4 linked regions of the Tamandua tetradactyla genome follow. The protein of the gene in region 1 interacts with the protein of each later gene in a biochemical or structural test. Links are inferred from orthologs where the notes say so. Each region holds a gene or a part of one and is shown on either strand. Other genes may lie near its edges. The genes, in order: SMURF1, RHOB, AXIN1 and SMAD5.

Region 1 (7,876 bases):
AACATGCATGACCGAGCAGTCGCACTCTTGAGCACTTATCCCAGAGAAATTAAAACATATGTACACACACACACACACACACACACACACACACACACATACAAGACCTGTACACAAAAGTTCAGAGTAGTTTATCTGTAATAACCAAAAACTGGAGCCAGCCCAGATGGGATTCAACTAGTGAAGACTTAGACTGTGGCGCACACGACTGCTCGTGGAATACTATTCAGCAATGAAAAGGAATAGTTTGGAAGAATCTCCTGGGAATTATGTTGAGTGAAAAAGGACAATCCCCAAAGATCACATACTGTGTGGTTCCATTTATATAGCATTTTTGAAATGACAAAATTTTAGAAATGGAGAACAGATTAGTAGTTGCCAGGGGTTGGGGGACGATGGTATAAAATGGCCACAAGGGGTCTTTGTGGTGTGGGAACTGTTGGGTGTCTTGATTCTAGTGATGGATCTATGGAACACACAGGTGTTAAAACTATATACCATTTAACATCCATAGCCACACTAATCAGTATAGGTAAAACTGGGGAAATCTGTGTAACCTCGTCATATTGTTTCAATGCCAATATCCTGATTGCGATCTTTTTTTGGGGGGGGGCAGGCACTGGGAATCAAACCTGGGTCTCTGGCATGGCAGCGAGCACTCTGCCTGCTAAGTCATTGGGCCCACACCTGATTGTGATCTTATACTATGGTTTTGCAAAATGTCTTCTGGGGACGCCAGGCAGAGGGATCCCTTTGTCTTATTTCCATCTATACAATCATCCATCCATGATGATCTCAATTAAAATTTCAATGAGAAAAAAATACTAAGTTATAACCCTTACCAATGATGATAATATAGTCAGCCTTGCAGATTGGAAATATTAGATCTGTCACTTAGAGAAAGACCCTAAAACCATCTGGGCCTAAAAGAATAAGTAAATAAATGTGCTAAGTATCACAATTTTGCACATCCAATTATTTTAAAAACTTGATGTTCAGATGAAAAGCAAAAGGAGTTTAGCTCCTAGCTCTAGAGACGACTGTAAGGGCTGATCTCATCCAGCCACTGGTGTCAGAGGCACTGGCTCATGTACAGAATCGTGCTCTCGAGAGGCATGTGGTATAGCTGTCCACTCCTGCCAGGAATACTCTGCACAATTTCCCAAACTTCCCCAATAGTAATTGCGGCTGCATCTCCCATAGTAGGCACTGGAACAAAGATGAGCACACACATTTTATATGTCCTACCACTCACCAAGCATCTGCTCTATTAGACTGCTAAGTCCACATCCAGGGTTTAACTTAACCCTCGTGCTGACTTTGGGTGAGAGACACTATTATCCCCATTTGACAGATGGACAAAGTGAGGCTTGGAGAATGTAATTAACTTGCTCTGTCCCCAGCTGAACTTGTGGTGGAGGCAGGGTAGCGGGTGGGCCTGTATGTGTTTTCTTTTCCAAAGCCTTCCCTGCTCGGTGTTACCTCCTGAACACATACATATGAGATAGTCGTAAAGATTATTGAATGATTATTTCCTTTAGAAGAGCGGTTCTTAATCTAGAGCCCTTACAACATCCACAAATTGCTTTCAGGAGATCATGAACCCACTGAAATTGGATGCAAACTTTGGCATCTGCCATGCATGAATTTTTTCTGGGGAAAGGGTCCAGAGTTTTCATCAGATACTTAAAGAGGTTTGACTCAGAAACAGGTTAAGAACTACTACAGCCAGATCCAAAGAAAGATTTTTATTTCCACTGGAAAATGTTTTCAGATGCCCTATAACACTGACGCAGGAAAATGAAACATTTGGGGGCAATAAAATCAGCTGCCAAGCCCATAGAAAGCAGGGTCAAAACTGCGCCTTCTAGACATTGCAGAGGACATGTGAAAAAACTCATTGAGTCCCAGCTTTGTTTCAGCAGAAATATTTGATAGTTCCTGTTTTAGTTTCCTAGCTTCTTAGACAACAGGAATTTAGTGGCTCACAATTTTTAGGCTAGAAGAAATTCAAAACCTAGGTGTCAGCCAGACAATGTTTTTTCCCTGAATATTGTGGCTGGGGCTGGCTGCTGGTGATCTTTGGTCCTTGTTTTTTATGTCACACGGCAGTGCACACAGCGATGTTGTCCCCTTTCTCCTCCGGGTCCCTTGAACTTCCTACTTCTTGCTTCTCCCAGTACTTTCTCTCTGTGGCCTTCTCTACAGGATTAAGACCCATCCTAATTCAGTTGGCCACACTTTAATTAAACAACCTTATCAAAAGGTCCTATTTACCATGGGTTCATACCCACAGGAATGAATTCAGATTAAGAACAACTCCAAACCACCGCAGTGTCCATGTGTTCCAGATGGTTTTAGAAGATAGTATTTTTGACAAAATTTGATACCGGATGAATAAATTTCAGGGTAGATCTTAAGTTCAGTATGAGGCCTAGGATAAAATCGCAGCTGATGACTTTTTTGTTAAGTGGCTGATGATTTTTAAGTGGGCAAATATCTTTTATCAACTTAGAGTGGGATAAGGTGTATGGATGGAAGATACTGCAGCTGTGCGATTGGTCTGGTGTTGGAAACTGCAGGAAAACACATTTACTTTCATGCCTTTGCATGAGAGGCTCCTGCTGCCTACAAAGCCCTTCTCCAGCCCTTTGCTGGCAAATACTGCCTCCAAGGTCCTTATATTGCCTTTCTGAGATCTCCCCATCCCCTCCCCAAAGGCAGATTTGCCCTGTAACCTCTCCCCTGGCCCTCTGTGCATATCTCTATCCCTGCATCAGTGTCAATTGTTTACGTCTGTCTCTCAGTTAGCTGAGCTTCTGAGATGCTGAGGCTGTGACTTGTGTCCCTGAATAGGTGGCCAAGATTTGGTGAATGAATTAAGTGTTAGCTTCTGATTAGGAAGGTTCTCCTTGTATAGTTTGTGGGGCAGCACACCATTAGGTGTTTCCAGTTAAATAACCGTAATTACTTGTTACCAAGTAAACAAAATACCTGTCAGCAAACTTCCAGAAAGGACCTCCTGGCCAGGGGTGGGTGGGGGCTGGAGGCGGGGGGGGGGGGGGGTGTTGATGAAATAATCAAGCAAAGGAAAGTCCAGACATCTAGGCAGATAAGAAAACAATGTGGTTAAGAAATAAATGGTTTCCAGGCCAGGAATGGTGGGGGAACAGAACAGGTAAGTAGAGAGAGAGAGTCGGGTTTGTTTGAGAAAGAATAGACTTCTTGAATATGGTAATAAAGAGGAGGAAATACTGACTGGGATGAAAGAAGAATGGGGATTATTTGGGGACATTAGACAACCAACTGTAAATGGGTTTATTCAGATCAAGGGACAATTGCCTGCAGAGAGAAACAGAGCTGGATTCTGGGTCTACTGTCCTGTAGCTTAAACACAGAACCATTTAAAGTCTGAGCAGCAAAAGGCCGTACAAATGATCCAGGCACACTTTTCTGAGGGATTGAAGCTCAGACAGTCAAAGCAGGACTCTGCTTTCATTTGGCTCAGATTGCAGCTGGCAGGCACTGCCAAGGGGCTCTAGGGACAGGGGCCTAGTCCCAAGACTGTGACCTCGGAAAAGGCCCAAGGTTGCAAGGGATGGCCACAACTGCCCAGAGCCTGGTTTCTTTAAGACACAAACCAAATAAGCGAATTAAAAGAATTTGTACATTAAAAGGATTACATAAAGTGGGTCAAAGACGAGTTTGATCAACAACCCAGCCTTCCTTTCTGTTAATATATTTCTTCTTCTCTACACCACGTTTGCAAGGGAATGTATACAGAGCTTCTAGTTCTAACCTGTAACCCTGAGAGGAGGGGAAGTGTTAGCAGAAGGCAGGGAAACGTAGGCGGTACTGCTGCTTGTCTGGTCAAACCGTGTGCAGACTGGATCATGACCAGCATCTTCTCTACCCCTCAACTTTATCCCTCTCACAAATCTTGTTTATCGTGTCCATACACGGTACTTTCTGCGCGATTCTGGCAACTCTGTTTCGGGTCAACAGAGTGCATTAGTTGCACAAAACCCACCCAAGGGACTTTGTCTCATTGAGAAGCCGCCCCCTTGAATCGGCTGCATTATCTGAAAACTCTACTCAAAATCTTCTTGAAGGCCCGTGTCGCTTGCGCAAGGGGCTTAGTCTAAGAACAGGCCAGGGTTTCATGGAGGCCTCCCTGCAGGAGCTTAGCAGGAGCCCGGGGCCTTGAGCCAGAGCCCAGGAAAAGAATTCCATCCTCGGAGCCTCCACGTTCCCATCTGCACGTCGGGTCCCGCAGAGAGGACCAAAGGCTGAGGCGGGCAGCATCGCCCACCCGTGTCGGGACGACCCCTCACCCCTCACCCCGGGCACCCGCGCTTCTCCGCGAGTGGGCTCCGGGGCGCTCGGCTCCTGGGGCCGCCAAGCCTCTTCCCAGCTTCCTGGAGAAGCCCGTCTGGGCCCGGCAAGAGCAGGAAGGTCCGGGTCCGCAAGCTGCGGAGCAGCCGCGCGCCCGCAGCCGGGCGGGTGACGTACGTGCGCGTGTTGTCCCGCCCCGACGCAGCCTGGGCGCGCGCACGCAGACGGGGGCGCGCAGGGCCGGGCCGGCGAGGCAGGCGCCGTGTGCGCGCGCGGCTCGGGAAGGCGGCGGCGGAAGCGGCGAGGGCGGCGGGCGTCCGGCTCTGAGGTGGTGGAGGCGGCGGCAGCAGCGGCGGCTCTGGGCTGGGCACGGCGGGGAGGGCGCGAAGGTCTGGGCGCGGGGCCGAGTGCCAAGTCCCGGCTCAACCATCCACCCGCCGCCCGGACGCCTGGGCCGCGGAGTTTGTGTCCCGGCTCGGACCCCGGCGCCCAGCCCGGAGCCGTAACCTTGAGGCGGCGGCGGCGGGGCCGGGCCGGGCCGGGCCGGGGGGCGGAGGCGCTGGATCCGCGGCTGCCCGATCGCTGGCGGGAGATGTCGAACCCCGGGACGCGCAGGAACGGCTCCAGCATCAAGATCCGTCTGACAGGTACGGCCGGCGGGAGGCCCGGAGAGCCCCGCCAGCTCCCGGTTGCCCCGCACAGCCCCTCGCCAGCCCCGGAAGCCCCCTCTTGTCGCCCTGGGGGGTGTCCCTCCCCCACGCCGGCCGTGGTCCCGGGACCTCGTCACCCCCTCAGCGAGTGCCCCTCGCTCCTGCTCGGCCCCGCCCCCTCGCTTCTCCCCTGCTGACCCCGCCCCCTTGCTTCTCCCCTGCTGGCCCCGCCCCTTGCTTCTCCCTCCCGACCCCGCCCCCTCACTTCTCCCTCATGGCCCCGCCCCTTCCCTTTCTCTTTCCCAACACCTTTCTCTTGCTTCTCCCCTCCTGGTCCCCCCTCTCGCTTCTCCCCTCCTGGCTCCACCCCTCACCTCTTCCTCTTGGCCCGCCCCCTATTCCTCACCGCCCCTGTCTAACCCCTTCCCCTTCTCTTTCCCACCGCTTTTCTCTTGCTTCTCCCCTCCTGGTCCCGCCCCCTCGCTTCTCCCATCCTGGCTCCACCCCTCACCTCTTCCTCCTGGCCCCACCTCTTCCCTTCCAAGTACCCCTCCTTTTCTCCCTCTTTCTTCCCCCACCTGCCTCCTCCACTCTCCTCTCCTGGTCCCGTCCCCTCGCCTTTCACTCCCAACCCCCGTTCTCCTCTTTGCTTTCCTTTTTCTCTCTACCTGCCTTGTTGCATCTGCCCCCTCTTTCTCCTCCCTCTTTTCTCTGGCTCCGCCCCTCACTTCTCATGGCTCCGCCCTTCGCTTCTCAGGACCCCGCCCCTCACCTCCCGAGTCCCGCCTGGCCGGCCTCTCCGCCCGGCCGCCTGGCTTCTATCCGGATGCATCAACTCATCAGCCTCGAATTCCTTGGTTCCAGCGTCTGGCCTCTCCCACTCCTGTCCCCCCCACCTCTCCTCCTCAGCCAAAGCTCTGCAGTCTGGTCCGCTTCCTCCCTCGGTCTCAGGCAGGTCCCTGTGTGCCCCAGTCGGCTTCTTTCTGATCCGCCTTTCACCGTGGTCACCCCACTCCACGCCCGTGAGCCCCTGCTAGGCGTCCCTCCCCCCACTTCTTGATGCACTCTCATTTCGTCTTCAGCGGGTATAGGTGCAGGTCTCCGCGGCCGGCCCGCGGGGGCCGGGATGCGTGTGGACGCAAACCGCGGGAATCGGTGCCCCGGGGCGGGGGTGGGGGCGGGTCCGGGCTGCAGCCGCGTGTCCCAGCGCAGCCCCAGGTGCGCACACCTGAGGCGGGGTGTGGTGCTCCCATATGGCTGTGCCGGGGACTTTCCAAACCACAATACTTCCAGCTCTGGAAAGGAAATAAAAAGTTCAGTCCACTCCCTCGCAGGGATTTTTCCCTCGATTTCTCTTCTCTTTAGTGGCGGGGCCCAGTGGGGACTCCGAAATCAGAGTCTGGTCGCGTCCTTTCAGGGCAGCACAGCCTTGAGGTCATCTGAAAAATCAATCCATGAAAACAACCCGGTGGTTTCATGAAAACTAAAATTTAGAAAAACAAAGTTGCTTGATACATTTTTTGTTTCAAGAAAAGGGTTGCTTTTTTTTTTTTTTTAAACAAGGATGTTAGTTGAGGAATTATTTGGACCCAAACCAGACCCTGGATTTGTAAGGTAACAGGTGTAAACTAGGGATTTCTGGAGAGGCATAATCCTTTATACCAGGGTGTGGCTAGGAAACACTTCTCAACGCATAGATAAAAACAGTAAGTTATTTTTATGGCAACATAAAAGTCATGTTTCTGACGTTGTGATACTTGTAAAACTTTAATTACTGACAACCTTAATTTGGTTCTCATTTACAATGTAATTTGTAACTGAGAGCAGATCCATTTGTTTTCTTTTTCTTGTTATTAAAAGCCGAAGTACCTGATTTTGTGAAGTTCAGTAGAAATGTGATTAAAATTTTAGAGAGAGTAAGATTTCAGGTACAGATATATGCATCAGGTGTGTATATATATATATATATATATATATATATATATTAATCAAGTCTAGTTGGCAGACCTAGGCCTGGTTCTTTTCTTCTTGAAGGAGAAGATTTGTTTTGTACTTCTCCCAAATTATTTTTGGACTCAGGAATTTGGATGTCATAGATCCAGAAATGCCTACAGAGGTTTGGTATGGCATTTGCTATTAAAGGATCAGGTGATGCGTGTTCTTTCTGAAATAAATATTCCTTTTAAATTGGTCTGTGAGAGTGACTGCTCCTGCAGCAGGTTGAGAGTGAAGCAGTGATGGTGGAAGCACCTGGTGGCACTTGTCTGTTGCACATTAATTTATGCGGAAACAGTGACATTAAATAGTTTGTTTGAAGATAGAATAGGTTTTGACTTCATTTTTAAGGTTGTTATGGGAAGTTTGCAATCATTTCATTTTTGGCACATTGTGCAGATAATTTTCAAACGTTGAATGCTTCTGTTACTGGTTTCAGAGTTTATTTCCATGTGTGATATTTGAAAATAAGAATTTTTTAAAATGAGGGCTATCTAACTAATCGATGATTAATTAATTACACACAGAGCGTAATTAATTGCAACATATGCAGACACTGGAGTTGTGAAACACCATTTAGAACTTTTTGGGTACACAATTGTGTTTGGTTATAGGGCAAAAGTTTAGAGTTAGGAGTCATGGATTCTGGTCAGATCTACCAGTAAGAAAATGATATGAAACTAATTTTTTATCCTTTCCTAACATACGAAATGAGATTTCAATCCTATTATAATAGTCTTTGCTTCTACTTTTCATGGGATTTGTCAGATTTCACCTATTCATTCCAAATTATTGTTGGGGACTTGTGCTTTCTGTTGCTAAGTCTCAATCCTCATATTCAGAAATTTGTATTAAAATGTAGCCCTCGTGTTTGATTTATGCCAAACATTGATTTA
Region 2 (6,917 bases), on another chromosome or scaffold:
CTCAGACAAAGAAAGTCTGCCCCCACACCAGTGACTGACATAAAATGTCATCTAAATTTAAAATGCACACATTTTCAAGTTTCAAAAAATAGGACGCCAAGGCCCCAGAATAGATTTCAGCACAAGGGCTTGGTACATAAAGAACAAAATAGAATCCAGGTATCTGGCCTCACCTAATGGAGGGTGGGGTAGCTGGGCACCCCGCTCAGCTCCCTCTGCCACTGGCACAGGAGCAGCCAGGTCTCCCACACCTCCCAACCCACACGCACGCCCCAAGGGACGTCACTCCAATTTCCTACATATACGGTGAGGGACTGTATTTATGGTGGAAACACAGGATCTGGCCTAGCAAAGTCCTTCCCTTGCCCCAAATCCACCAGGAAACTTTTATATACTATTAAACCATAGCAGTCACTTTATAAATGTCATCATCATAGTCTTTTAATATTTTACATAAAAAAAAACTGTATACACAGCTTATAGAACTTTTATGTAAACATCATAAGCTCACCACTTTGTCATTTGTCAGTTTATTTAAAAAATAAAAAAACAAGACAATTTAGTAGAAGTACCACAGGGGGAGGAGGGGAGAAAAGAGAGAATAGGGGCAAGTTTATTCTCTGTACAGAGATGCAGAGAAAACTTCACATAGCTCTAGAGACTGCCTTCTGAAAAAAAACCCAAAATACCTTAAATAGGCCGGGATGCTTGTGACTGCCCTTTACCAAACGGGTGTGTGTAATCTGCACAAATAAAATCGCCAGTGTTGCCACTTTTTCCAAGAAAATAAAACAAAAATTAGTGCGTTTTTTTTTCTCTCCTCTCATTTTTTAAAAGTCATCATTTTAAATAAAACATCAGAAGTAGATGAGGTTACAGCATACAAGTGGAGTCAGACCGTCTTATGCAAATGACAAGCGCATTAAGTGTCAAACAATGAAACAATTGTGCAAAGAATTCTTTTGGGAAAAAAACAAAACTAGTTTTTAGCCTTTAAATAAATCAAATAACATCAGTTTCTTGAACCAAACAATTCTCACTTGTTGGACAGGCACAAAGTTCGCTTATGGCAAAAACAACCCTGCGGCGCAGGCTCCTCCTGGCCCGGCGTTCCGGAAGGCTGCGGGGGCTGCGCGTGGGGGGGCCCGCTCACAGGAGCCGCTGCGCCGCGTCCGGAAGCTGTGTCCTCTCGGCCCCAAGTCAGTTCCAAATGTCTTCCCCGGAGGCCGCCAAGATGGCCAGATCCAGTCTATGCTTAGATGGGCGCCTGATCCACGCCTGGCCGGGGCTGTTCCGGCGCCGTCCCTCCGCCCACCACCGCCATTAAATAACATCCTACCTCCCGAAAATAAAATTAATCTATTTTTATACAGCACCCCTCCCCCCGTCCTCCCCAGCCCTCCCCTCCCGCAGTTCCCGGGGTCTATGTTACAGACAAGGGATGGCAGGCGCTCGCTGGTTAGGGGCGAGCAGCGGACGGGGCGCGGCCGCGCTCGGCTCCGGGGACCTGAGGCGGGGGCAGGGGGCGGCCACTGGGCGGGGGGGGGGGGGCGGCCGGCCACACACGCAGCCGCACTCGGAGGCCCAGCTCTGCAGCAAAGGATGCTCAGGGGCCCGGGGCACTCGGCAGGGTGCCCGGGACCGTGCAGCACGACCGGCCGCACAGAGAGACACGGGGAAGGGGGCGCCCGGTCCCTCCCACGCCGATGGCCGGCGCGGTGGGGCCGCTCGGGGGCGCGGATCCCCCCGTCTCCGGGCTCGCGAGGGGCAGGCCGCGAGGGGGGGCGGCGCCGGCAGGGGGGGCGCGGGCCAGGCGCGGCCCTCATAGCACCTTGCAGCAGTTGATGCAGCCGTTCTGGGAGCCGTAGCGCTTCTGCAGCGCGGCGCGCGTGGCCGTCTCGAACACCTCGCGCACCCCCTCCTTGGTCTTGGCTGAGCACTCGAGGTAGTCGTAGGCCTGGATGCGCACGGCCATGGCACGGCCGTCGTCCGTGCGCACCGGCTCCTGCTTCATGCGCGCCAGCTCCGTGCGAACGTGCTCGTCGCTGCGCAGGTCCTTCTTGTTGGCCACCAGGATGATGGGCACGTTGGGACAGAAGTGCTTGACCTCGGGCACCCATTTCTCGGGGATGTTCTCCAGCGAGTCCGGGCTGTCCACGGAGAAGCACATGAGGATCACGTCTGTGTCCGGGTAGGAGAGCGGCCGGAGGCGGTCGTAGTCCTCCTGGCCCGCCGTGTCCCAGAGCGCCAGCTCCACCTGCTTGCCGTCCACCTCGATGTCCGCCACATAGTTCTCGAAGACGGTGGGCACGTACACCTCGGGGAACTCGTCCTTACTGAAGACGATCAGCAGGCACGTCTTGCCGCACGCGCCGTCGCCCACCACCACCAGCTTCTTACGGATGGCCGCCATGAGCGGGCCGGGCCCGGGCAACAGGAGGGGGCCCGCGAGCGCCTCGCCGCCGTCCCGCTCGCCGCTCACCGCTCACCGGGGGCTGGGCGCCGGGGGCGAGGGGCGCCGGCTGCACCCAGGCCCCGCGCTGGCGCTCTGGCTCGCGCGCTCCGGCGGCCGCGGCGGGGGCGCGGGGGCATAGGGTGCGCCGCGCGGCTCGTCCCGGGCGGGGGCCGCCGCCTTTGTGCCGAGACGGCCGCCCGAGCTGCGGACCCGGCCTCGCGACCCCTCGGGGCTCTCAGCTGGGCTGGGGAGCGTCTCACGGCACGGGAGGAGCGCACGACTCCGGCCAGACTGCGGCGGCAGATGCGGGCTGCGGCCCCGGCGCCCGCTATTTAAAGCGTCCGGCCACTTTCTTAATATAGCTGCCCAATGGGAAGCGCGCAGACTGAGCTCATCGCTGCGGAGCTTGGCTCCGATTGGTCGCACGCTGCAGCCCGAAGGCGGGGCCGGGTGCGCTTGATTGACAACCCGGGCCGCGGGGCTGGGAGAGGCGGTGCCTCGGGCGTGCGCGCCGCGGCTGGCGCGGCGGGGCCGTGGCGGGGCCGTGGCGGGGCGTGGCCGGGCCTTGGCGGGGCTCGGGCTGTGGCTGCGCACGGGCCCCCGCGAGGTGCGACCGGACCCCGCCGTCTCCGGCCCGCGGCTCCGGGGAGACGGTGCTCCGTGGGGCGTTGGCGCCCCCTCCCACTCGGAATTTCCCCGCGGCCCTGCGAGCTCCCGGTGGGTTGGCGGCTCCCTGGGGGAGGGGGCGGCTCCTAAAGGTGGTGGTGTTTCTAAATAAACACACGCGCGCACACACCACTTCTGTCTCCCTTTCATTCAGAACCGCCGTTCCTCTAGTCCCGCCGGTACTCGGCCTCCTGGCAGCTCTTCTGGACCCACGAGGCAGGCGTGGGCCAGACTGTGCACAGGGGGCCTGGGCGGAGCCGTCCGTCCTTCACCCCCCGCTTTCGAGTCTTCTGGCCTACCCCTGGCCTGGCCCCCAGCCTGGGCTTCAGGTGAGGAATAGAGGAAGGAAGGCCCAGGGCCCCCGTAGATCAGTGGAAAGGGAATTTCTAGGCTGGCTGCAGAACTTCCCGTCCACTTTGAGGAAGTTACCGGTAGGGAAGGACAGCCCAGGCCCTGCTCCGCGTGATTAACTCTCATCCTCATGGTTAAACCCGAGAAATGTCAGCACTGGAGGACTGCAGAGTCCACCCCCTACCCCCACCCGGCCGGGAGCCGAGGATGGGCCAAAGTCCGGGAAAGGGGCAGAGATTTGCAGGCCCCGACTCAGCGAATTACTGCCTTGGGGACGGTCTTCTCTATGCCCTGGGCCCATAGGAAAGGACTCCTATGCCTGGTGTACAAAGATGGCCGGAGTTGGGATTTCAATGCACAGAAGAGGTGGGAAGGAGGAAGGGGAGGCGTGGGTAGGGGTGGGGTGGGGTGGTCTCCTGGGAAGGAGGAGCCGCTCAACAAGGCTGGAAGGAGGGAGAGAGGAGGGCGGATTCTAGCAGCGGTGCAGAGCTGTGTTTGGTGGTGAGGGACGGTGGGGACAGGCTGGAAGAAGCGGGTAGCTGGCTAATGCGCATTCGACCCATTGCTGGGACAGAGAGTGGCTTCCTGGTTTTCCATCATGAAGATGTTATGCCTCATATTTCCGTCTCCCTCTGTGCTGAGCCATTTGAGGGCTGGGATTCTGTCTCCTGGGAAACCTAGCACAATGCCTGGCACTTCGCAAGAACCATTAAATGGAGAATTAACCAAAATGCTGCGGAACTCAGTTGAAACCTTCCAGGGGTCCTGAACCTCAGCTGCAGGCTCTGCTGTAACAGCCCGCGGAGCCCAGGCTGGGCTATGGCTGAGCCCTGGTGTTTGCAGCCAGCGTTGGCACACTGAGACCCAGGGCGCGTGGACTCGGCAGGTGTGGCGAACCCGGCGATCAGGTCAGTGAGCCACGAGTACCACAGCCCTTAGTCCTTAGCCTGGGGAACAACTCCTGAAATGGCCACAAAGACTTCCCTTCCCGGGATTGGCTGCACAACAGGGCCCAGCTCTCTCTGCAAGCGACTGAATGATTTTTCCGCAGTGCCATCCCATGGCCCAAGGGTTTTGTGTTTTTTTTGATCATTGGTTTAAGGCTCCCATCTGGATTTTTTTTATTTTTTTTAGTTAGCCTATTGGAGAAATCTTATCTGCACACATTTTTCTTCTTTTAGTCAAAACCTTTTATAGCTGTACTGTTTAGACTACTTTGCATGGTCTTAATATAACTTGGGAATGTTGGCTGTGCCCTGAAGCCTCAAATATTAAGAAAATATTAGACCGTTCAAACTTTGTACCATGTTTTAAAAAAACACACACACAAAGAATCAGGAAGAATGATCAAATTTACTCATTTCCCAATTTTCACGCATGCCATAGGAGCTGTGTGTGCCAAGCTCGAATCTCAGTATTGCAATAATTTCTAAAAATATTCGTTTGGTAAACATGGCAAAGTACACAAACAGAAAAAATTCACGTTCTGCAGCAACTTCTTTTCATGGTGTTCGTTTCTTGTCCAGAGATAGTTTGACAAGAACTGGGAATACCAGCTGCCTCAGAGGGGACGCTGCGTAGAGGATGCGCGTGTCCACACTCGCCACCCCGCCTCCCCCTCCCTTCCCAGTGCTGCCACAGAAAGGCAAGGACAGCATTTGATTATAAGAACAAGTCATTTAATAATTAACTTTGTTAACACATAGATCCACCATACAACTGATAACGTGAGAGAGGGAGTCGATCCTTCCGAAGAAGAGTATCAATTTCTCTCCAATAGTCTACTTAAGTTATTTGGCCATTTCTTTGCCCAGGGTGTCCTGTGTATCCCCAGTAAATCACCCTGAGATTGGAATTTTTATTAGATTTTAGCGCCTCCTTGTGGCAATCTTTACATTCTTTCCTAAAAGAGACATTATAAAAAACATTTAGTCAAAAAAACGTGCATTTTATGAATATTTTTAGGACCTCTCAGATGATATAAAACTAAAGTATGACTTACAAGTAACTTCTTTTTCAAAAGCATTTCTATTGTGCAATATAACAAATGTACAGAGAAGTGATAAATTTCAAAGCACAGCTCAATAAGTAGCAAGTAGCTTCTTTAGAAATCTTTATCTATATATTCATACACACCTATATAAAATCTTGTTCATATATGCATTTTTAAGTCCTTCCTAGTTAAATTGTAAGTTTGAAGAGATTAGCAGAGGGATTTAAAAGTCTTCGTTTAAGGAGGAGCTTTTCATGTCTAGGAAAATTGTCAACCTTCTACCTCTGGGTGAGAAACAGTAAAAGTAGAAGGGCTCTTCTAGAACCAGCCATCCTGTCTGATGTGGGGGGCGTCTGGGTGGGCTTGGGGCCCAGTGTCCTGGCTGAGGGGTGTCCTGCTGCTTTCCGGGGTGTCGGCTCTGAGCAGCGGCAGGGCTCAGGGGACCAGCCCGGCAGCCTCAGGGCTGCGGGCCTGGACTTCGGCCAGAGCCCCATCTACCCGTCCGGGGGCAGGAGAAGGGCAGTGGGCAGTGGCGGGCAGCTTCTGAGCGCCCTCCAAAGCAGTCAACTCTTAGCACAAGTGCCCACTGCGTGCCGGCAGCACGGCTGGGGCAGAGCTGTGATTGCTATTTCAGTTTCATTCATTCAGATTTAAAAACCAGTGTCCGATTCAGCTATTGGGAAATGTTTCTGTGTGTTTGAAACAACTTGGGTATGGGAATCTATTTTTTCAAAGGAAGTCTTATGAAACCTAAACACGGATCAAGTATTCTCGGTAAAAATCTCACGTCTGAATTGAGATGTGCCGTAATTTTAAGTTAAACCCTAGAATTTGAAGACTTCAAGTGAAAAAAAATATGAAAAAGCTCATCAATAATTTTTATATCAACTACGTGTTGAAATGAGAATATTGTGAGTGTACTGGATATATTTTTGAATTTTGGCTATATTTGAGTTTATTCTTTGAATTAACATTCACCTTTTCCCTTCTTACGTTTTTTAATGTGATATTAGAAAATGTTCAGCTGCACATGTGGTTCACACGCCATTCTGTTGGGTGGCGCTGCTGTACCTGTTGGAAAGCTCAGCAGGCCGCCTGGCCTCTCTCAGGGACAGTGGCCTCTCTTCGGCAGATCCCCCTTTAATTGTCCTAACCTCAGTGCTGGACTTCTGAGAGGCTCAGCCACGCAGGGCACTCCGTGGTCTTGTGGCCTCGGGCAGCGTGAGCGTCCCCCTCCTTCCCACTTGCGGTCAGTCCTTCCAGGCCAGGAGCCCCCCAGTCCTTTCCTTCCACCCCCTGAAAGCAGCAGCACCCCCCCACCCCCCGCTGTCATCCCCAACACGAGGCAGGTTTTCTAAACAGCAGAGCCTGCTGGGGCCTTGGCATTGAGACTCCCTCTCCTTTCAAAAGAGAGAGGCAAACCCTAGCACACGCACCCACCACCACTGCGGA
Region 3 (7,944 bases), about 50 Mb from region 1:
CTTGCAGCAGCTCCCAGGGACTTCCAGAGACCAAGTAACCCCGCTCCTTCCTTGTGGGCCCGGGGATTGGCGAGCCCATGTGCTTCCATGACGACAGTGCCCTCAAAGTGAGAGGATGGAGGTTGCAGCCCCTGGGCCCTGCTGTGCCCACTGCCTTGTTCCCACAGCCCCAGGGTGGGTGGGAGGACTGGCCCTATCACCCCATCCAGGTCCAGGACACCTCAGGCCAGGAGAGGGCTGGCGGGATCTGACTGCCACCTGGTAGGCTGTGTTCTGCCTCCACCCCCAGCAGCTCACCTGCCTACCCAGGTGTGCAGTCTGCAGGGCTGCGGAAGGGTGTGGCATGGCAAGGCAGAGGCAGGCCTTCCGGGCCCCGGGGCCCCGCCCTGTGCACCTATGCTTGCCCATCCCTCTGGCCTCCCAGCACCTCCAGGCACAGAGCCTTGGCTCCCTCCCTCTGGCGCCAGGCTGGTCTGACAGGCCCCGCCTTGCAGCAGCTCCCAGGGACTTCCGGGGACCAAGTGACCCCACTCCATGACCCTTGACCGGCCCAGACCCCGCACCCTCCTGTCCTGCCCTCACCACGTGGGCTCTGTGACACACCCTCATGCCAGGAAGGCAGCCCCAACCCCTGCAGTCCGCCGTCCCCAGCTGGCCCAGGCCTGCTCGCCGGTGGCTTCCAGCACACCTCGGGCGGCTCAAGGCTGGAGGCCCGGCCAGGGGCCCGGCCTCCCTAGCAGCTACTCACCCCCCTCGGGGCCGGAGGCCCACCCCTGCCCCCCGTCCAAAGGCTCGTCTTCCCTTGGTCCACTCGACAGGCGTGGCCTCCGGCCCTTCCCGGCATCACAGGGGGTGCAGTGGGGACGCACCATGCCTAGTTGAGAAGCCCTGCTCTCCGGACAGGGGTAGGCGGCCCAGGCAGACAGCCCCCAGGCGGCGGAGGGCAGCTGCAGTTGCAGGCCCCGTGCGGCAATGTGGCCGCAGCCCCAGGGTCTGGTGGGGTAGGGGAGGCCCAGGCGCAGGGCCCCGGTATGGCTGTGGCGGTGGCTGTGCCCACCGGGGTTCCTCCCTACACTTCTCCCCACATTTGCTTCTTTCCAGATGGGGCCTGACCTCAGCCGCTGGGGCAAGCCGGACCTGAAGCCCTGCTCTAGCAGGGCCATCCTGGGGGCCGGGCAGTGCCTGGAGCAGGTGCCCAGGAGGGCTGGACGGGGACCCCTCACTCACACTCGTGCCCTGCAATGGGCAGGAGCTGCACCGTCCAGCCACGCCCTACTCGACCCTCGGAGGGGACCCCAGTGTGGGCCCACCGGCCACCCACCTGCTCCCTCGGCAGTCGGGAGGGGCTGGGGGGCTGGTTGCCATGGCTACCATAGGGTTCCGAGGCCGTCATCTGGTCCCGCCTCAGCCAATCGGCGGCGGGAGCCCGAGCTGCAGCCTCGAGTCACGCGTCCCTCCCAGCCCCACAGTGGCCGAGCGGGACCTGCTGCCCGGACTGGCTGCCAGTGCTCGGACACGGCCAGGCCCGTCATGGCGGACAGCGGGAGGGCGGGCCGCGGGCCGGCGCGCGGAGCCAGGCAGGTGAGGTAAGCCGGGCGGGCGGGTGGACAGACGGATGCACAGACAGGTGGACGCGCTGCCCACTGTGGCCACGGCGTGGTCCTGCCCCTGGCTGGCCCGCCTGCCATGTCCACCCACCTGCGCACACCCACCCTGGGCCCTGTCCCCATGTCCTAGCAAGGTTCCCGGGCAGGGAAACAAAGAAGGCGGCGCGAGGCGGACAAGCCCCACCGCGCCCCGGTCCGAAAATCACCCTCCCGGGCCTTTCACATCAGATGTCACGAGGGCGGCATCAAAGACCCCCGACTGGCTGGCCCCTCTCCCAGCACCGCGCCCTGGCCCGCTGTCCCGTGCAAAGGCGGCGTGGCTGAAAGAGCAGTTTCCCACGAAGCATTTTTCAAAAAGGAAGAGGACAGAGAAAGAAGGGGAGAAGGACCGCCCATCCTAACGGGGGAGATGGATCAGAAACGCCAAATCCCATTACCCGGGCGTCCAAGGACAGCGGGCTGCGGCAGGGGCAGGGGCAGCACGCTGTCCAGGGCTGGTGAACGGAGCCCCTCGGAGATCAAAGAGGGTGCACGTGTGCGCGTGTGCGTGTGCACGCGTGTGCGCGCGGCCGGGGCGGCGGGGCTCAAAGCCTCCGTCGGGCGACGGTCGGGTCGCAAGGTGACCTCGGAGGAGCAGGTCATTTAATGCCTGTAGCTAATCCCCGCACTTTTGTTTGCCACGACGGATTCTGGCAGCAACAAAGGCGGGGAGGGGGGAGGGGGGGCAGCTCCGAGCGTGGCGGGCCCGGTGAGTGGTGGCAGTGCCCTGGGGACGCCGGCTTTCTTGGGGAAGTCGAGTCGGGGGCCCCACGTCCCCCTGCGACCCTGTGCAGTGTCTGAGGCTCGTGGGGGCGCCCCACTTTGCTGAGGGGACCCCGGTTCTGGGCAGCACCTCCTGCAGTCCCCACCTTCACCCGCACGCATCGAGGCTGTTGGGGGGTAGCTGGTACCCACCCCAGGCCTCGACGATTCCTTCCGACAGGAGAAGAGCCAGGCAGGCATGGCGGGGGCTCAGGCCCGTCTCCCTAGCACCTGGGCCTCTGGGGGGTAAACATGAGACCTAAAGGGAGAAGCCCTGGGACCGCGGATGGGGGACAGATAGACGGAACCTGGGCTGAGCCTCTGGTGTGGCAGCCAGGCACGGAGAGAGGAGCAGGGCACCCATCCAGGGGCAGAGGGCTCCCCCACTCCCCTAAGCCCCAGCTGACGTAGAGCTCTGGTTCCTGCCCTCCCGGTTTTCATTTCATTCTTGGAGATCCTGCGCTGATGTCTTCACACTCACCAGCTGTCCACGCTGGGCCTCGGGTGCCTGGGTCCTGCTCCCTGCACTGGGCTGTTTGATCCTAAAGACCCCCAAATTGAGAGGGGACTCGCCCCTGTGGAGAGCAGCCCACGTGCTGAGGCTGACCAGCCCCTGCTGCCCCTGCCAGGGCCCCTCTGGCCAGACCCCTAGTGGGGGGCCCCCTGCCCCCCTGCTATCCGCCCACAGGGCCCTGCGCTGCTCCCGGGCTCTCTGACCCCTTTCCTGTCCCTGCAGGCTGGCAGGCCCGAGGAGCAGGAAGCCCGAGGGCCGCGTCCTGGCCCCAGGCCTTGGGAACACCCGCCGCCGTGGGCCAGCGGGAAGACAGACGTGGATGCAACCCTGCGAGCCTGGTCTGGCCGCAGCAGCGGCTCTGCAGAGCCAAGGCAAGCGCCGGACGCGTGGGGGTAGGCACCCTTGAGGGCACCATCGGCTCAGCCCTTCCAAGTTTCCTTCACCCGTGGAACCCACGGTGCCATGGAGGACACCATCTCAGTCTCCCCTGGGACCGTGGGACACAAGGCGCTGCCTGCCCTGTCTGTGGCTGGTGTCCACATGCCCCTGCCATGTGGAGGCCTGGGGACACTCTCCCAGGGCCTGTCCTCCCTCTCGCGGCGTCACTGGGGTTGGGGTGCTGCCGGCCGAGGTTGGCTGCTGGCCCAGCGCGCGCTGGGCTGGGACTTCTGCTCTGCCCCAGTCAGTGCGGGAAGGGTCCAGAGAGGCCATAGCAGTGGCGGGAAAGGGTGGTCGGGGGTGTCAGTGTGGCAGCGGGGTGGAATCATGGTGGATGGCAAGTGACCAGCCACAGGGGGTAGAGGACAGGAGGGCCTGGCGGCTGGGGGTGCAGAAATGCAGGGTGCCCCAGGCCACAGGAGGTGAGCAAGGCCCTGACCGTGGGCCGCAGCCTCCTCACTTGAACTGGGGGTAGAGCTGGCCCCGGGGGGCTTTTGGTACATCCAGTACAGGGCAAAGGCCCTCACCGAATCACTGGAGGGGAGGAGATGTGACTTTGGGGGCATGGAGGTTGCAATTTCTGCTGCCACATCCTTGTTGTGGGGCGGCCCTGGAGCTGACCGCGTCCCGTGGGCCAAAGCTACTCCTGGGTGGCTGCCAGACCTCCGGGGCCTGTGGTGGGCAGGTGGCCAGCACAGCGATGGCCGGCCATGCTTCTAGGCGCCGACCGCAGACCAAGACGGTGCTGGGAGAGAGGGGTGGGTGCCAGGCCGGAACCCCCGAGGTCCTCGCCCTCAGGGAGCCCGAGGCTGCACCCTGGATGGTGCTGGGGAGACCTAGAGGCAGGAGGACAGCCCCTCCGCCACCCCGGACCTCAGCCCTCTGCAAGCTGCAGCTCCGGCCAAGGGTCCTGAGCATTTCCCGGATGCCTGGGGGCTGCTCGGGTCCTGGCCGGCTGGGCGAAGGTGGGCGGTGGGGCCGTCGGCGGCCCTTCAGGGCTCTCCCCAGCGTCGTCTCCTCTGCGCCACCCACCCCGGACACCGAGGCGAAACCAGCGCTTCTCCCCGGGCAGTCCCGGGACCCCGCCTGCGCAGCGCAGCCCCGCCCCGCCCCGCGGGTCCACGCCTCCGCGCCTGCAGCCATTTGGCTCCTGGCTGCGGCCCCGCCCCACGCTCTCGGTCCCGCCCCCACGCTCCCGGCCACGCCCTCAACCCCGGCCCCCCATGCGCTCTGACCCCAGTCCTACGCTCTGGCCCCGCCCCTACGCTTCCGGCCCGCCCTCACGCTCTCCGACCCGCCCCTGAACCCCGGGCCCCGCCCCCGCACTTCCGGGCGGCGCCGGCGGGGGCGCTCGGGCCTGGCTTCGGCGCTCCGGGCTCCGGCTCCGGAACCGACCGCTGCCGCCGCCGCTGCCGCTGCCGCCGCCGACCCCGTGCCATCGGACCCGAGCCGCAGCCACCGCGCAGAGGCCCGGTGAGCGGGGCGGTCGGCCTCGGCGGCGCCCAGCGCCTCCCCCGGGCCCGCGCCGAGGCCGTGGCGATGGGGGCCGCCCCCGGCCGCGCCCCCGCGCCGTCCCGCCCGTCCCGCTGCCGCTGAGCGCATGGGCCGCGCCGCTTCGGGAGCCGGGCCGGGTGCCCAGTCGCCGCCGCCGCCGTGCGGGTGAGTAGCGCGGCCGGGCCAGAGGGCGCGCAGGGCGGCGGGCGCCCATTGTAGGCCGCGCGAGGCCTGGCCGGGGGCGGCACCCGGAAGAGGGGCTAAGGGCGTGCGGGGGCGGGGGCGGGACGGGGGCGTGGGGGCCGGAGTGCGCGGCTCCTGGGTGCGCGGGGAGGCGAGGGTGTCCGGGGCCCGGGGTGCGCGGTGGGGCCGGGAGTGTGCGCGGCCAGGGCGCGCGGGTTCCCGGGGGGCCGCCAGACTGCTGTGAGCGGGGGGCGGGGCAGCAGGGGGGGGCCGAGGGAGCGCGGAGGTCGCGGGGGGCGGCGTGAGGGTGTCGCGCTTTGGGAGTCGGACACTGGCGGGGAATAGGGGCAAGGCCCCATGACTTGGGGTGTGCGGACGGGGAAGAGTCTGGGCGGGTTCTGGGCCTAGGGGTGCGAAAGGAAGTGAGGAAGACGCAGGGTTCTGCTCCGTGCGTGGGGCCGGGTGTGGGTGGGTGCCGCGGACCCTGGCGGGGGGCAGCTTTCAGCGGGTGAGTGGGTGCACAGTAGCTGCCCGGGCTGGATGGTCTGCAGGGATCCTGCCGCCGCCTTGCACCCCCCCCAAAAAAACAGGAAGAGCTGTGTGCACTCATGGAGGGCACCCCCTCTCTGTGCAGGATGCTGTGGTTGGCTTCCCTTACCCCTCAGGATGATACCTTGCCACCAAAAAACCAGGTGTTCCTCCTGGGTAATGAGTCTTAAGATTTTTACCTGCAACCCACACTTTGCAGCTTAACACCCCTGATGAAAGGAAGCAGCAGGTAAGGTAGTAAAACTTTTAGCTTGTCGTTGAGGATAACAGAGATGTTACCCTTCAGGTGCTTTTCTCAGCCCCACTCTGAGGCAGTTGTAAAGGTCTGTATTGTGCACATGGGCCCCTTTTTGTTCACACTTTGGTTCTCAGGTGTACTTGGGTCTTTGCTCTGAACTGGATCACAGAAATAGCCAGCAGAAGCTCGAGTTTGATTTTAGAAAAGTCTCTCCAGGGACAGGGGTGGGAATACATTTGAAATACAAGGTGACTTTCTTGGATGTAGAATTTTAGAAAAGCTAAGTGACTTTCTTGATTTAAGTTGGTTCTTGAGAATCCAGCTAGTGGGGAGTGGGTTGCATTTCAGACAATAGCCCTGACTCTTCAAGAGTTGAATTAATGGACAGTAGGAAAATTGTCAGAATTGCATACCGTTTCTTTCACTTTCCACGTAATTCAAAAATTCGGAAGTTATGGCATACCGTTTCTTTCACTTTCCATGTAATTAAAAAATTCGGAAGTTATGTTTAAGTAAAAGATGTAACCACATCCGTCCACAGATATGCTTGTGTGGTTGCTCTTGGGGTGGGCCACGTGGGGGCTGGGGTATGCCCAGGTAGTGGCAAAAAGAAGCAGCCTCTTAGGTCCCTTTCATGGAAACGCTCTATCGGTGGTGGTCCTGGCTGGGGGCCGGCGTGGTGCTTGCTGGCAGCTCTGACCTGGACTGAGGGAACTGTTGTGTGTGTGCAGAGCAGGGCCCAGGGCAGAGCCGAGTCCTCAGCGCCTTGGCTCACCGGGTGCCAAGGCTGGGAACAGGTGGGCCCATAAGAAGTGGTTCTTTTGTGCTAGAAAACTAACCCAGGATGGCCAGGTTGGACTGGGTTCACACATGAATTGAAAGGTTAGTCTTGAAAGCTGCAGTTTGCTAATAAGGGGTCAGAGTTCAGGTTTGCTGCCGTGTCTGTAACAGCCGCTCAGCACCTGTGAGGCGCTGGCGTGGGGAGAATGTGACAACTTTCTTTTTCCTTTATGTCCGTATGTATTTGTCGGTGCTGGTTAGTTGCAGGACCTTGTAAGTGCTGTGTGTCCTGCAGGAAACATGTAAATCAGAGCTGCTGCAGGTGGCTGCGTGGACACATGTGACAGAGGCTGTAGGGGAGTCACCCTGGTGATCCAGTGTCTCGCTCCTCCTGTGAGGCTGTGAGCTGTAGGCTCTCTCCACGGGTGAGCACAGGTGGTCAGGAATGAGACCCTCTTTCCCGAGATGGCACCCTGGACGAGAGGACATACAGCATGACAAGCTGGGGCAGAGCTGCGGGCACAGAGGTGCTCCCTTGGCATGAATGGGGCTGAAAGAAAGCGGCTTTGCAGCCAAAGTGGCCTGTGAGCCGCAGGTGCCTGGCTCCCGGGCCTCGACCTTAGGTAGCAGGCTGTTCTGGCTGCTCCCCGGGGCGTTTTCCTAAGAACTCTTTAGCTGCAGAAGTGCCCTGTGGGCCCTCTGCAGCCTTGGCAGTGTGGTCTTGTTGCTCAGCGGGCCCTGCGCTCCTCGCAGCACGCCTCGCGGAGTGGCCCAGGGTGGGCTCGTAGCAGCTGCCACGGCCCCTGAGGGGGCTCTGGCTTACCATCCTTGCCCCTTGAAGTACCCTCCTTCCACCCGCTGTGGGAAGGGTGTTCTCCTTACCGGAAGAGGGTAGCCCACAGTGCCCTCAGCCTGTCTTCTGAACGAAGCACCCGTGAGGCCGGGGCTGGGGTGGCCTCCTGGCTAGCTGTTATGGACATGCGCTGAGCTAGGGCCCACACAGCTTGCCCTGGTTGCAGGTTGTTGGTGGGGGCGGGGGGTGTGCTGGAAAACTTGCAGTTTTTTGGAAGGAGAGTGTGGCGCCCAGAGGGTCTGGGTGTGGCAGCCCCTTGGAGCACAGGCTGGGTGCTGCAGTGTGTGGGGTCCTGCAGGGGAGAGGAGCTGCCTTGCCCTCCTGCTCTGCGGCTGAGGGGTGCCTGCGGGCTGCGGGGCCGGGTGTGTGCGTCTCCCTGCAGGCGGGCTGTGAGCCGGAGAGTTTCCAGAGATGGCGTTCCGAAGGGGCACCCTCATGGCCCGCTGGGTCGCGAGGGGATTGCGGCCAGAGCCCGCGTGGGGGGGTG
Region 4 (7,737 bases), on another chromosome or scaffold:
TCTTCCCGCTTTAAATACCGCATGGCCAGCAAGGAGCCTTGGACCGACTTCTGTCCTCTACTTCTCACCAAAATATGTGTGAAGAAACAGAAAGGACCCAAGGCTCATAATTCCTGACCTACAAACTAAATTTGAGGAGAATTTCTGCCAAAAAGATGACCAAATGGAGTATTGGGGGAAAAAAATGGTGGCACCCCTACTTCACCCCCTGAAACAGAGCAGCCCTGGCTTCCTAGAAAGCTACTTCAGCAACCTGTGTTTTCTACCCCTCTAAGAGGATTTACAACAGCCAGAAAATCAGGCAGACAGTTTAGGACACCAGGAGGCTGGCTGCCTTTTGAAGTGCTCTGAGGACGAGGATGGACAATCACTTCTTATTCTACCCTCCACCTCCATCGTGTTTCTACATCCAATCAGAGGCTGTAAATCCTAGAAAGGACTGAGTAGAGGGTTTGGGGTGGGCAAGAGAGACGAGAAAGAAGGGTGGTTGGGTCCATTTTAGGAGACTGAGAGCTAAAGGCCAGTGCTGTGACAACAAGGAAGAGAGGTCATCGTCACAGCAGTTCCACGGGAGGGCTAGCACGTCTCGTGTATTCCATTCATTCAACCCACCATAAAGTCAGAGACTAGGCGATAGGAGAAAATGTACCTTTGGATAAGAGAGGAGCCCTAGAGCATTGAGGCTCTGCAATCAGAGCTTTATGATTTTATAGATTTTTATATTGCCGTTCCAAGTAAGATTGTTTTCTAAGGAAAGGTTCTGCTGAAAACCACGACAGTTATTCCTGCTAGACACTGGAATTGGGACGTGAAATATTATACCAATTTGCTCTACTGCTGATTTCGTGAAAAGGGGGACCTAGCCCTCCACCCACTCACTGTCCCAGTATTTCTCTCAGTGTACAGAGCAAAGTGAGAAAGGGACAATTTAAACCCTAATGAAGTACACGGGAACAGAAATAACATCTTGAAAATACAGAGCAGGAGCATAACAATGCAAATATGACAATGATTTGTGACGAAACCCAGAAGAAAATTTTGGAAAATAATTGGGACCTTCCATAAACACAGCTTCTATGAAATAGGAGTAGACAGCCGTGTGGAAAAAACCAGACGAGATGAAAGAGCACATAAGGAGGGCAAGGAAACTCATATATTAATGGTAAGATTAAAATCATCTGAATTGGAGGCAATAAAAAGTAGAATTAATGCCCAGAAAATTAAATCACTGACATGGAGGATAAACATTAATGGTCTTTACAAAATGCAGAGGAAATGGGAAAAGCAATAAAGATTATGAGAAAGGAAATGATCTGCTTGGGGGATAAATAATGGAGACAAGTTCCAAGAAGAGTAGGCTAACCGAAGCAAGAATGAAAATCAGTTGGGTGTAGAACCAGTAAAGCATCATTGAATTATGTATTCCAGAGATTTAAATAACGTATGAGTGTGCGAAGCAAAAATAAAACCATAAAAAAGAAAGAAAATATAGGTGTTTATTGATGTTAGGCTGAGCAAGAACTCCGTAAACAAATAAACAATAGCAACAATGAATACATATATATATATGTAAAGATTAATAGATTTGGATGCATTTTGCCAAGTTTAAAGAACATCAAAAACATTGAGGTAAATTATAAATTTGGAAAAATGTCTGTGACAAAGACAGACGGTTAATATACCTAATCTATGAGGTGCTTTTCAAAATAAGAAAAATACTAACACCCCCCCCCCCCCCAGTATGAATGTTGGATAGTGGTCATAAATAAAAAAATTAAAGGAAGACTCAAATGACCAATAAATATTTGAAAACATTTAGCCACATTAGTAATCAAAGATATCAAATTCAAAGACAAGATAGTACTAGATAACATTTCTGCTTTTCAGATGTGCAGATTTTTTAAAATTTGGTTCTGAAAATCATGATTTGAATAGCACTCCCCTCTTGCACTTGACTGGTTCCTCTTCTCCTTGGGGTTTCAGTTTTACCTTCACTTCCGCCAGGGAGTTTTCTCTGACCACCCAGGCTACGTCATGTCCTCTAATTGTCATTTTTCATTGCATCTTCTACTTTGTGGCATTCATTTCAATCATATTGTGACTGTGTGTGTGAGTCATTTGTTCAGTATCTGGCGCCCCAATGAGACTGTAAAGATAACTAAAGCTTACATTGAGAATTTACTCTGTGCTAGGCAATATTTAAGTGCTTTTTGAATGTTCTGCATTTTTCTCCCAATATGGAGTCTCTGTGCTTGTTTAAAGAGGAGGAAACGGTAGCTTAGCAGAAGTTCAGCCCTTGTCCAAGCCCTGCCGGCTGGTACCTGCCTCCCTTGGCTAGAGGCTAGGGCTCCTGGCCTGAGAGCTGCAGGGATCTTTTCCAAACTTTTCCCACCCAGAGTGATCATTCAGAGGCAAAGCCCCTTCCTCCAGGAAGGGACCAGGTCTTCCATTCTGGACCTCATGCCGTACCATGACATCGTCTGAGACTACGATAGGAAACCAAGCTTACTTCTCAGAGTAGTCTAGTTAGAGAACACTCAAAGTTCACCTTCATTTTTTTGGTTCCACACAGCAAAACCTTTCACCATGGCACTCATCTCCGTATTTCAAGATGCCACATTCCACCATAAAGTTACAAAAGAAAAACTGTGGGGTGGGGTGGGGTGGGGGGAGGCACTGAGGAATTCATGATTCATGCATCCAAATCCTTTCTTGGATCCCCAGAGGGAAATTGCATGCTACCTTTATTATGATGCTTTGTCATCGCCAAATAAATAACAAGAGAAGCAAGGGATTTTTTTTTCAAGATAAAGGAAAGGTTAGAATTATTTAAACTTAAATCAAGTGCAGACAGGTTTATCTCCCTTCCTACCCAAGGAGATAGAGTCCAGGACTGGGTGAGCTGGTGGTAGGGACTCCAAGATTGGAAGAGAGCAAATGAGCAGCTGGAACAGAAAGAGGGAGAGTTTCCTCATGAACCCAAGTGGCTGACAGGGAGCAGAGAAAGGACTGGAAAAGGCTTGCTGTTTTGTAGGATAGTGACACTTCTAGGACCTTCTAATCTGCTACAACCCCCTTAACACAGGATTCACAAGAAACAAAGTAGCACAGTTGAGTTGTTTAAGAACCCGCCTGTGCTTGGCTGTTAGCAAGGTCTGAGTTTAATTCCCAGCTCTCTCTCCTTCCTGCGTGCCTTAAAGCTTCTTAACCTTATTGACTCCAACTCTCCCATAAAAATGGGATAATAAAAGGGGCTGCTTCATGGAGTTGTAGTGTAAGATAAGGACGTAGCATAGAGCTGGCATGTTGTAAGTTTTCAGCACACGTTAAGCATTACTATTTCAGATGGGCAACCTGGCCTGCTGGCAAAATGGATCTCTTTCTTTAAACCTGAATTATTTGTAGTGGAAGTATTCTAAGCTAAAGTGTATATTTTACAGGCTTATTAAATAGAATACTCTAAATATAGTCAATGCTTTTGCTTTTATTGAGCTTTTCTTATACTTAATAAACCTCGTTGTACAAACACGGACAATGCAGGCGCGTATAAAAGTGAAATTGGAAGCCTGCCTTGTCTGCTTCTCTTCTCCAGGTAACAATCCTTAACAGTTGGTGGCATATCCTTTCTGACTGGATTTCCTGAACGTTCCATCAGGCGCTGTGTGGCAGGGAGGCGGCCATCTGAACAATGCAGGATGCCAGCCTGTGGCGGCTTCACATCAGCGGGCCTGCGGGCCCCTCCCGTGTGAGTTAAAGTTGCATATTTCATGATTATACCACAGAAAGAGCGGTAGTATCTTAGAAATAGCCCTAGAGGAGAGACCTGAAGCTCTAATTCCCAGTCCTCATCCTTACACTTATGACCTGTATGAACCCAGAAAAGTCACTTTACGCACTAAGCCTCAGTTGCCCCCTCTGCAAAATGAGATTTATGAACTAATTCATGGTTACTGATTGTATACTATGGGTTAGGCACATTGTGAAACAAGACAGACAGCTTTCCTCGAGTTTGCATCTTAGAAGGAGTAAAAGGGTGATAAATCAAATACATCGGCAAGTGAATATCCGATGAGGCTATGAGGATAACAGCCAAAGAGGGTGAGGTGATAGGACATGACAGGTTGCTTATCTCCCAAGGTTGCTGAGACTCCAAATAACTTTCCTCAAAGGGTTTTGTAAACTAAACGCATGATATAAAATGTAATTTAATTCTTAGGAAAAAAGAAAGGACCCGTATATTTGTAACACCAACCACCCACGATACTGTGATTCTTGAAGGAGAAAGGGGCCTCAGGAGTGTGTACCATTGAGAAGTGCTGCTTTAGAGTTGATAAAACACTTTGTCCATACTTTATCTCAATCTGTCCTCTATGCTTGCCAAAAGTCGCAAAGATATGGAGGCAGGGAGTGGTGTGAGAAAAGAGAAAAACTTTTCTTTTCTACAGACCAAAGCCCACTTTGTATAGTACTTAAGTTAGACCCTCACCGCTAGTACTGGAATGCTTGCAAAGCAGTAAATTAGGGGGTGGCATCCTGGAGCCCGAAAGACCAAAGTGCTGCCACATCCTTTCCAGGTGCAGCCTTTCCGGTGTTTACACTTTAACAGCCGCAGAAACCCAGCACAGAGTGCTCTGAGCCCTGACGGAAGACCAGTAAGATATTACTATGAAGTCAGTTTTACATCATAATGATGAAGCACATTTACAGAACTTGATTTGAAATTTTCATCTTATACTGTGCTGCAAACTGGCACTGGGTGAGTTTGGTATCACTCTCCCATGTTGCAGATGAGAAGACTGAAATTCATAGAGGAGAAAAAAACCCTCCAAACTGGTGGCTGAATGCCCTCATTGGGTCAGCAGGCTCCTGTTGAGCCCATCTCTCCCCAGGATCTCAGGCCACACTGGTTTACTTCTTGGGTTCCCCCCGCCCCAGCCTGTCCATGCTCCTCCCCATTTCCACCTCCCTCTCCAAATTACATCCTCCTGTCAATTTTTTTCTTCTACCATAGCACACTTTTGCTTTCCCTGTGCACTTATGAGAAAACACCATTATATTTTCAAGTGTGTTTATTTGTGTATTGCCGGTTGTTCCCGTGATGAACCCCACGTCCATGCCTCTTTGGTTCACTGCTGAATTCCCAACACCGGGGACAGAGCTCGCGAAATATTTGCTGGATGAAGAATGAAGGAGGAAAGGAGGGAGGGCCAATTCGTCGCTTTTATTCGAAGGTTTAAACATAAAACATTACCCCCGAGATAAAATCAAAACATTTCCCCCTGATATTGGATAATGAAGATGTTTGAACATGTAGAAAAGTGGAAAGAATTGTGCACTACTGAGTCAACAGTTGTTAACGTAGAAGAAGAGCTGTTACCTGAGTATTGTCAAGGACAACTGAATGTAACGCCAGGCTGGCTGATTATGACTTGACTATTCTTTGGAAGCGACTGCTTTGGGAGCCCTCACGTTCAAATACTTCGTTCTGCAGCAGTGATCCAGAGGCGGCACCGGGCATAGGAGGCCTATGGGCGCCCACACACGCGGCTCAGTCCTCTTTGCGGCTCGTGGCAGTATTAGGCGTAGGAGGGACAGGTCTGGGCCTTAAGGCCTCATCAGTTATTTCTCTTTCCCGAGTCTGGTTTCTCTTCTGTGAAAATGGGGATTCATATACCCGATCTGCCCACGCCATCCCTCACCAGGCCAGGATGGTGGGAATCAGATGTAGGACACTGTCCTTTGTAAAATGACAAAGCAGGAAGTGCTGGTGAAATGTAGGGGAGTATTGCAGCAAGGGGGCACACACAGAACCCCTGGGTATCCGTTTGTTTTCCTTCTCACTCATTTGCTGTGTTAACGAAGAATTTCAGGTTGACTCTGAGCTTCTGTCATCTGGCAGAACTTTGGATCACAGCCTCGTGACTCCTCCTGAGCACATGGACTTGAGCCAAAGGCAAACCTGTAAGGGCCTCTCAGATACTGCCCACTCCCCAGAAGCTGCATCGCTTTGAGTATTTTGCCAAATCTCCATCCTGCTCTTGGAAGAGGACTTGAGCGGAGAGAATGGAGGAATAGTTGTCTCTGCCTGCCCCTTCCCCAAACCCCTGGCAGCAGGATTCCTGTGCCATCTACCCTCCCACTCTCTTTCTTCTCCCCCCTGCTAGACTAAAACTTGTAGGGGAACTTTGGCCCTGAATTTCAGCAGGAAACACACCCAGCAGCCAGATGTCTGACTTTTTCACCCCTTGGCAAGGATTAGCCATCTTCCCTGTAAACTTCCGGCTTTTCCTTTCTGTTAGATCTTTCAGCTTCTCCCTTTTCTATCTCCTTTAGTTCATAGACATGGACACTCTCGAGAGGAGAAGCAAAAGGTAGCTTGCAAACTGCTGCAGACTTGCTGAGTGTTTATATACTCCATTCGGTAAGTTCGTTGTTGGTGAATGTTGGAGAGTTGGGGGGTGGGGGACGAGGAGGGGGTGGAGTGGTGGAGGGGACCCGGTCAGCATTCAGACTCATTTTGTCTGTCACTAAATGTATATCCAGTGAAGAACCGGTGCCTTTCATGATGATCAAACAGGACAGATAATTAGATAAATTCACAACTTAAAATAACACATGAAGGAAAATAAGTGCAAATTCTATTACCATCAAAGTATTTGAGTGTGAAAAAATAATAGGTAAAACAGACCTCTCAACTTCAGGCATAATGAAAGAACCAGCTCTTCTTTGACAAACGAATCAGACCTCAGAGAACACCTCATCCACTTCCTTCACTTTCCAGGTGGAAAACTGAGGTGCCGGGAGGGAAGGACTTGCCCCAGCTCTCTGACCGATGGTGAAATGCGGTATCCTGGCCCAAAGGCTCACACTTGGCTCTGTTGACATCTCTCCAGAGATATTTCTGGAAAAGAAGGATTGCATTCGCAGGCCTGGGCCTGCCCTGCCCACTGTTCTGTCTCCTGTCCTCCTGCTCCCGGGCCGCTGGCCCCGCCTCCCTCTCAGAGGCCCTCTCTGACCTACAGTCCCCGCCAGGAAGCAGCAGCTGCAAAGGGGACCCGGCTTTTCTCTCACGTATGCACCAGTCTTCCAATAAACACCTTGAAGCGGGAGAAGCAGAAGCCTTTTTTAAAAAGTGTAAGAGGAAACATTTCTAGAAAGAACACTGTCTTCCAAGTCAGTACTCTTAGACTATTCTCCATGCAATAAGGGGCAAGTGTTTCCCAAAGAAATGCATGAAAAGCGGGTCATCACAGGAAACCTTTACAACGAGATTTTGAGAAACTGAATTATCACTTCACTGTACAAAATTGTCATTCTTTCCTTCTCACCAGTTTTCGCCTGATATATCTCCCTTCACTAGTGTGAATTCCCACTCCACCAGGCCTGACTGTGTGGTTTTGGTAGTCACTGCCCCTCTCTGTGCCTCAGTTTCCTCACCTGTAAAATGGGGATTATAGTTTTGATTTCATATAGTTGCCCCAGGGATTGTGTGAGATGAGGGCGAGCATACTTAGCATGCGGTTGGTGCTTACTAAATGCCCTCTGAAATAGAGGCCTATAACTATGTCCCTTACCTAAAGGGCTCTAACAAACAGGAGGATTCCTTTTCGGCAAGCCCCGCGGCACTTCGTTGGGCAGCCCCGGCTGCCTGCAGGAAGGAGGACAGGTCTGAGCCTGGAAGGATATGTTCAGTGGCAGCTGGCAGGGTTCCTGTGAAACCCGAGCTCCTTCTGTCCC

The links.
Region 2: the proteins of SMURF1 (region 1) and RHOB form a complex in vitro, tested with the Homo sapiens proteins (2 studies listed by BioGRID and IntAct, with this or other methods). The link is inferred for Tamandua tetradactyla from reciprocal best matches to the Homo sapiens genes SMURF1 and RHOB.
Region 3: of the proteins of SMURF1 (region 1) and AXIN1, one has a biochemical effect on the other in vitro, tested with the Homo sapiens proteins (2 studies listed by BioGRID, with this or other methods). The link is inferred for Tamandua tetradactyla from reciprocal best matches to the Homo sapiens genes SMURF1 and AXIN1.
Region 4: of the proteins of SMURF1 (region 1) and SMAD5, one has a biochemical effect on the other in vitro, tested with the Homo sapiens proteins (3 studies listed by BioGRID, with this or other methods). The link is inferred for Tamandua tetradactyla from reciprocal best matches to the Homo sapiens genes SMURF1 and SMAD5.

The regions. Positions count from the first base shown.
Region 1 is NC_135349.1:7,194,457-7,202,332, reverse strand, and holds the start of SMURF1 (E3 ubiquitin-protein ligase SMURF1), read left to right. Parts: upstream 1-4,873; 5' UTR 4,874-4,927; coding exon 4,928-4,982; intron 4,983-7,876. UniProt on the Homo sapiens protein: E3 ubiquitin-protein ligase that acts as a negative regulator of BMP signaling pathway. Mediates ubiquitination and degradation of SMAD1 and SMAD5, 2 receptor-regulated SMADs specific for the BMP pathway.
Region 2 is NC_135329.1:3,528,981-3,535,897, reverse strand, and holds RHOB (rho-related GTP-binding protein RhoB), read right to left. Parts: upstream 2,471-6,917; 5' UTR 2,414-2,470; coding exon 1,823-2,413; 3' UTR 515-1,822; downstream 1-514. UniProt on the Homo sapiens protein: Mediates apoptosis in neoplastically transformed cells after DNA damage. Not essential for development but affects cell adhesion and growth factor signaling in transformed cells. Plays a negative role in tumorigenesis as deletion causes tumor formation.
Region 3 is NC_135349.1:56,967,149-56,975,092, forward strand, and holds the start of AXIN1 (axin-1), read left to right. Parts: upstream 1-4,931; 5' UTR 4,932-5,019; intron 5,020-5,584; exon of another isoform or gene 5,585-7,944. UniProt on the Homo sapiens protein: Component of the beta-catenin destruction complex required for regulating CTNNB1 levels through phosphorylation and ubiquitination, and modulating Wnt-signaling.
Region 4 is NC_135346.1:15,399,304-15,407,040, forward strand, and holds the start of SMAD5 (mothers against decapentaplegic homolog 5), read left to right. Parts: upstream 1-4,726; 5' UTR 4,727-4,756; intron 4,757-6,333; 5' UTR 6,334-6,421; intron 6,422-7,737. UniProt on the Homo sapiens protein: Transcriptional regulator that plays a role in various cellular processes including embryonic development, cell differentiation, angiogenesis and tissue homeostasis.